Cricetulus griseus: one gene and its partner. The protein of the gene in region 1 purifies or fractionates together with the protein of each later gene. This does not show direct contact. Links are inferred from orthologs where the notes say so. Each region holds a gene or a part of one and is shown in the gene's direction. Other genes may lie near its edges.

What was found.
Region 2: the proteins of Rpa1 (region 1) and Tipin purify together in Homo sapiens (affinity purification with western blotting; 4 studies listed by BioGRID and IntAct, with this or other methods). This does not show direct contact. The link is inferred for Cricetulus griseus from reciprocal best matches to the Homo sapiens genes RPA1 and TIPIN.

The regions. Positions count from the first base shown.
Region 1 is NC_048600.1:88,760,316-88,763,964, reverse strand, and holds part of Rpa1 (replication protein A 70 kDa DNA-binding subunit), read left to right. Parts: intron 1-1,763; coding exon 1,764-1,896; intron 1,897-3,649. UniProt on the Homo sapiens protein: As part of the heterotrimeric replication protein A complex (RPA/RP-A), binds and stabilizes single-stranded DNA intermediates that form during DNA replication or upon DNA stress.
Region 2 is NC_048597.1:175,901,717-175,905,465, forward strand, and holds the start of Tipin (TIMELESS-interacting protein), read left to right. Parts: upstream 1-899; 5' UTR 900-902; coding exon 903-999; intron 1,000-3,749.

The DNA.
Region 1 (3,649 bases):
CTTGTTAAGATCCCCACACCGTATCTAGCTTTTTTTTTTTTTTTAAGGCATTAAAACTCTGCCTTAGAAGAGCACTTCATCCTGAGAATGTAGTGTGGAAGAATTGATGTGGGCAAAGAAAAGACTTTACCCAGCTCAAGCTTAAGTCATTTGTGTAGCTGTAGTCACAGGGGGCATGTGTGGTTTCCAGCTATGGCTTAGAGTTTAGGGGATTCAAGAAATAGCTCATTTTATACTCCTCATTTTTGTTTTGAATCTGATATACTCCAGTAACAGTGATATTTTAATAATTTGATAGAATATCTCCTAGAATGTCTGTATTGCTTAAGCCACCCTCTCGAGTAGCCTGCATCCATCTATTTAACGGTGCTGATAGCTAGTATTGCATCATATGACAGAATCCCATAGTAGTTTAACTAGAAACAATCGTGTCTTTGGTTTGTTTTTGTTGGTTGATTTTCTTCCAGGCTCTGAGCACAACTCCAGGTTAATTGCATGCCCACAGTAAGGTGTTCATATTTCACTGTCAGTAACTGATCGCAGAAAACACAAAGAGGCATGTATGTCCCCTGAACAAAAGGTCCTGTCATTGATCTAGGACAGGTTCAGTGCACACACCCCACCCAGGCAAGGATTATCGGAAGTTTAGATCTTGCCACTAACAGGGTGGAATTTTTATTATAAGAAGGGCTCCTGTCTCCTTGCTCTGTTGATTCTTGATGAGCTATCTTTGTGGCAAATGTCTGCATGAAGTTTTTGAAGCCATAAACTTCACAGTTTTTAGTGGTAAAACCAATTATGAACTCTATCCTCTATGACGGATGTAGCTGTTCACCTGACACAATGTGGCCTAGGGCAGCAGCCACTCTGTTGAGTGCTCTCTTTTTAGGGAGTCAGTCCTGTATGTGGTTAACATTTAATTACCTACCACTTGGGTGTTTGATATGTTTGTGTTTGTTTGTTCATTTATTTGAGAAAGGGCTTTTCTGTGTATCCCTGGCTGGCCTGGAACTCACTCTGTAGACCAGGCTGGCCTCGAACTCAGAGGTGCACCCACCTCTGCCTCCCAAAGGCTGGGACTAAAGACGTTCACCACTCACTACAGCCAGCTCATGTTTTTAATCTCAAGCCCACCACTCTCCGCCACTGCATGTTCTTGCTACCTTCTCCCTGGCCTCTTTTCCTTTGGATTAGCCAATAGCTGGTCAAGAGGTGTAATCAGTTTTAATAATAATTTCATATAAATGACTTAACCTTGATGTTTGCATAAATAAATTCCCACTGAGAAAGCAAATATCTAACACAGCAGATAATGCCTTCTGATGAAGTATGTTGAATTCTACAACTGATTAGGCTTAAAAGATTTTCTACCATGAAAACATTTTTGGCTGACTCATGAAACAAAAATGTCCCTTTTCATCTGATTCATTTCAGTGATTGAGGTAAAGGCTCGAAGCCTGGGGGACTGCGCCAGGGTGGCCTTCTGTTGCTGACTCTGTTCACTGCTTTTTTTTTTTTAATATGCAGCCCAGTTTGGGGCAGGGGGTCTGTGGTATTTGGGCATTGTTTGTCTTGACCATGGGGTCATGTGGGAGTGGAGGTCAAAACAAATGAGGTCAAAAGAAAGGCCATTGTAATTCTTCAGGTGTGCTGGGACCCAGATGGGACCCGGTAGTGACAGAGCTCGTGGCTGGTATATCCAAACAGCACATTTGAGAAGGATGCAAAGTTCCTGTCACCATTGCTTTTGTTTTGTTTTTTAGGTTCGACTCAGAAGGACAAGCCTTAGATGGTGTTTCCATCTCTGACCTCAGGAGTGGAGGCGCTGGAGGGAACAACACCAACTGGAAAACTTTGTATGAGGCTAAATCGGAGAACTTGGGCCAGGGTGACAAGGTACCTCACGTCTTACTTCACAGAAGCCTAGAAAGCGCTAGATGGTTGAGTGTTTAAATCTGCTTTCAGGTGCTAGTTCAGGGCTGTGTTCTCATCTGGGATCCCAGAGCCCTGTGCCAGAGCGCCAGTTACTGCTTCTTGTTGTTGGTGTCTCTGTCACTGCCAGTATAGAGGCTGTGTGTGTTGAAGGGTGTGTTGTGGCCTCTCGTGTGAAGTAGAAAAGTGTGACAAGTTTCTGGATACTGCGGAAATGGTGGTGACCAGGCTCTGCAGTGTAGTGTGAACTGGCCTCGGGTTCATGTTAGTGTCTGAGCAGAGCATCAGTGTCAGGCTGTCAAGCATCAGGCAGCTCCTGTGGGTTTGAGCCTGAGTTGTAGATGGAGAGCAGCTGCTATCCTGCCAAGGACTGGTATTTGACTTTAGTTACAGCTTTCTGTTTCAGTGTTCCTCCCTTGGCCTAACCTGTGTTCTGCTGGATATTTGAATCATTTATTTCTATTGTGCTCCCTAAGCATCACTTGCTGCGGCTCCTTTATTGTCATCATATACAATATAGGTTTTCTTCCTTACTGTCTCATTTCACTGTGCACTCGATCCATCATTGTCATCCACAGCAACTTATAATACTATTATAGAACATCTTGAGAATTAAACATTGGTTGGATTCTGTTTCTTTTGTCAGCCAGTTGCTCTCTTAAACTAAAGATAGACAGTATGCAGTCAGAACTGAGCATACACTGTTAAATCAGGCTTCAAGTCTGCATCTTACCTGGAAATAGAGAGAAACTCTTTAGGCATTCTAAGGTTTAGCTCTCTACAGCTTTTTCCTCACAATTTTTAAAGTCATTTTTCATTTGCATTTTCCACTGCAGTGTATGGAATTCAAACTGAGCTCTCCCTGTGAGTCCCAGGGACCAGGCTCAGGTCATCCGGCCTGACAGCAAGCGCTTTCCCCCATGAGCTGGCATATTGGCCCCAGCTTGCTTTCTTTTTAATGTTTTTATTTTATGTGTATTAATGTTCTCCCTGGACCCAGCTGGACCCAACACACAAGTTTTCAGGACTCTGTGTTTTCAGTTTATGTTCAGTGGTCAAGTAACATATGACACAAACCAAATGAGTGACTGGTGTCTGAGGAGGTCAGAAGAAGGCATCAGATCCCCTGGAACAGCCACCATGTGGGTGCTGGGGAGCTGAATTTGGTTCCTCTGCAAAAGCAACCAGTGTTCTTAACAGTGGATCCATCTCCCCACCCAGCCACCCCAAGCCTTCTTATGTACTCAGTTCTGTGGAGCTGAGGGTTAAACCCAGCTCCTCGTGCATGCCAGTCAAGCTCTTCCACTGAGCTACACACCCAGCCCTAAAGCTGTCTAAACTGGGTACTAGCATAGTCTTTTTAAATGACCACATTGTTTTGCACCTCTGGTCTGAGACATCAAGTAGACCCAGTGTGAGCCAGGCATGATGGCAAATGCCCTTAATCCCAACACTTGGGCAGCAGAGGCAAGTGGGTCTCTGTGAGTTTGAGGCCAGCCTAGTCTGTATAGAGAGTTTCTGCATAGCCAGGGCTAATTAAAAAGGCCCAATGGTTTTGATAGCCTAGCTCTGAATTCAGGGTATTCCTGGATTCTGCAGTTACTTGACCACTGAACATAAACTGAAAACACAGAGTCCTGAAAACTTGTGTGTTGGGTACAGAGGTAAAGCGGATCCACTCAGAACCCTTAACATGACTTAGTCCTCCTAGGTTACT
Region 2 (3,749 bases), on another chromosome or scaffold:
ATTTTTTCAAAGACATCTTTTATTTGCATGGCTTTTTGTATGTAATTTGCTTGGTGCTCTGGAGGCCAGGAGAGGGCCTCAGATGCCCTGGTACCACACAAGGTTGTGAACCACTAAGTCGGTGCTGGAAACCAAATTTGAGTCTTCTGCACGAGCAACAAGTGCTTTTAATGGTTAAGCCATCTCTCTAGCACATTTACTTATTTATTTGTTTATTATTTATTTATTTATTTTTCGAGACAGGGTTTCTCTGTGGCTTTGGAGGTTGTCCTGGAACTCGCTCTGTAGACCAGGCTGGCCTCGAACTCACAGAGATCCGCCGGCCTCTGCCTCCCAAGTGCTGGGGTTCCAGGCGTACGCTCTCAGGCCCGGCTTCCACCACTCGGTTTCTAAGACCGGAGTCCTATTTCAAAAGCTAATGAAGCGCCTAGAAAATAAGGAACTCTGAGCTTCACGCTAGTAAGATGCTCGGGATGGGGAAGCAGGCTTTCGGGCGGGGGTGGGCGGGTCCCGGCTACTCTAGCCCTTAGGCCCCGCCCAGGCCGCTTCGCGTACGGTTGGCGCCAAACTTCCCATCTCTTCTCGCAGAGGGAGTTCCTGACTCTCGCGAGAGGCGCCGTTCGCGCGCTCGGCTGTGGCTGCGGTTCTTGTGAGGTGAGACTCGGTTCTGTGAGGGAGTCTCTGGAACGAGAAGCGGCACTCGAAGTTCGCTGCTGGGCTGCGAGAACTGGGGTCGCCACAGCTAGGCCGCAGGGCGGCTGAGGAGGAGCAGACGGAGCGGGCGGGAGGCGTCCGGGGCGGGAGGATGGCGGGCCTGCCCCTGAGGCGGCGTCTTCTCGGCGCGCTCAGACCCTGGGACCAAGCGCCGGGACAGAGAATGTGGGGTGAATGAAGTTGACTGGATGGGAGGGAGGATGAGGAGGCTGGAGAAGACGGAAGGGAGATGTGATACTTTTAGGGAGGCACCCAGGCCGAGTCAGGGCGCTGGGCTCCTTAAAGGTGAGGCGCCTCTCCACGACCGCTGGGAAAGTTGTACGTTTCTTACGAGTGTGGGAAGGATGTTGGATTTGTTACCCATACTTCTCTGGGAGTTTGAGGACCAGGAGGGGAAATAGACATCAATGTCTAAAAAGATGTGTGACGGTTGTCAGGGGGAGAAAGAAGCTTCGTCAACAACTAATTCTTTACATATACTAAGAGAAACCAGTTTATTGATAAAAGCCCTACCGCGTGCTTTACTGATTACTTGCTAGTAATTGTAGTTGCAAGTCCTGTTTTCAGAACTTCCATTAGAGTGGAACTACATAGCCGGGCATTGGTGGTGCACACCTTTGATCCCAGCACTCGTAAGGCAGAGGCAGGCGGATCTCTATGAGTTCGAGACCAGCCTGGTCTACAAGAGCTAGTTCCAGGATAGCCTCCAAAGCCACAGAGAAACCCTGTCTCGAAAAACAAAACATAAAAACCCAAACTATCTATCTATATGTCTGCACTTGATGTTGCTAAAGATAACCTTGAATTTCAGAGCCTCTTGATCTGTCTGAGGACTGGCATTACCAAGCCCATGCACCCCTATACATACACCTAGTTTATGGGGTACTGGGAATTGAACCCAGGGCTTTGTGAATGCCAGCCAAGCCCTCTACCAACTAGGTTACATCTGCATTCTGTGTTGTGCATGTGTACAGACAAGGACTGTTGTCCATACCGGCTTCCTGGGTTCCTACTTTAGACTCCTAAATGTTGGTATTACAGTGCATATCACTGTTACTGGTTTGGAATTCTTTTTTAATTCCTTTTTTCAGTAAATAAATATTGAGTATCTGTTGTGTACTGAATTTAGGACATAGTGGTGGAACACAAAAAGACCTGTCTGATTTTTGTTCTAAGGGGCTACATTCAATTGTAGGAGAGTAACATTAAATAAATAAAACTTAATAGAGAAACGATGATTCCTATAAAGCTTATGCATGGTGATGTTAATTCTTATAAGAGGATTCTGGGCCATCGAGGAGGCTTATCAGGTAAAAGTGCTTGCAGTACAAATCTTACTTGAATTTGATTCCAAGATGGTGAAAAGAGAATTTCTGGAAAGTTGCCCTTAAGGCTTCCACTTGCTCACACACACAGGGTTATTCAATTTAGGGACATTTGAACGGTCTCTTTCTCTAAGAGTCTCAGGCTGGCCTTGAAGTCGTGTAACTGAGGATGGCCTTGAACTCATTTCCTCTTGTCTCTACTTTCTGTGTGTTGGGATTACAGACTGTTTCATCACTCCTGATTTGAGATAGATTTTCCTGATGAGAGGTCATGGTTAAAATGTGAAAGAAATTAGGGATAAAGGAAGAGCTTTCAAAGTACATGTAATGCTATCACTTGGGGAGGAAAGGCAGGAGGATAAGGAGTTGGAGGCCAACTTGACCTATATAAGACCCTATTTCAAACAACAAAATTGGTGTTCAATGGGTGAGATTTACTGTGCTTGAAAAGGACCTGGGTTCTGTTCCCACCACTCAAACCTGCTTGTAACTCTTAGTTTCTGATGATGCATCATCCTTTTGCTTCTTTGGACACCTATACATGCATGTTGCTCATAACACACAGGCAAATAGATAAGTAAAAATAAATCTTGCATACTCCCAGTATGCAGGAGGCAGAGACAGGTGGATTTCTGAGTTCAAGGCTGGCCTGGTCTACATAGTTCCAGGACAGCCAGGGCTACACAGAGAAGCCCTTTCTTGAAAAAACCAAAACAAATCTAAAGCAAAATACTGTTCTACCAAACGTGAGTGAAATAAGGTAGACCCTAGCTCTTGTAGACCTAGCTGGTCTCGAACTCACAGAGATCCACCTGCCTCTGCCTCCTGAGTGCTGGGATTAAAGGCGTATGCCACCACCACCAGGCTTGTTTGTTTTTGAGACAGGGTTTCTCTGTAGCTTTGGAGCCTGTCCTAGAACTTGCTCTGTAGACCAGCCTGGCCTTGAACTCAGAGATCTGCCTGCCTCTGTCTCCCAAGGGCTTTGACTAAAGGTGTACGATGCTGCTACTGCCATCTGGCAATATCCAGGTTCTTTACAGTAGAGATAGTTTTTGTAAGGAATTTAAAAAGTATGAGAGAGAGGGGGTATGAAATGAAGTCGGCATAGTATAAATTTTATTCTTTTGTTTGGTTTTTGGTTTTTCAAGATGGTTTCTCTGTGTAGCTCTGACAGTCCTGGAGCTGGCTGGATCTGTAGACCAGGGTGTCCTCAAACTCAGAGATCCACTTGCTTCTGCCTTTTGAGTGCTGGAAGTAAAGGTGTGTGCCACCACTGCCCAGCTAAATTTTATTCTTTTATATTCATTTTTGTTTTGTGTGCATTCATGTTTTGTCCAAATGTATGACTGTGTGAAGGTGTTGAATCCCCTGAAGTTGTAGTTACAAGCAGTTATAAGCTATCATGTGAGTGCTGGGAATTGTACCTGGGTTCTCTGGAAGAGTAGCCAGTGCTCTTAACTGCTGAGCCATCTCTCTAGCCTCCTTATTTTTTTATTTTTTTTCCTTAAAGGGTCTCTTGGTTCAGGCCAGCCTTAACTTGCTATGTAGCCATGGCTGACCTTGGGTTCCTGATTCTCTTCTTTCAAGTGCTGGGTTACAGTTGCCACTATGCCTAGCAAAAAATTATTTTTCCCTATTGAATTTTTTTTTTTCCCTTTTTTGAGACAGTCTCTAGCCCTAGCTGTCCTGAACTTGCTATGTAGATCATAT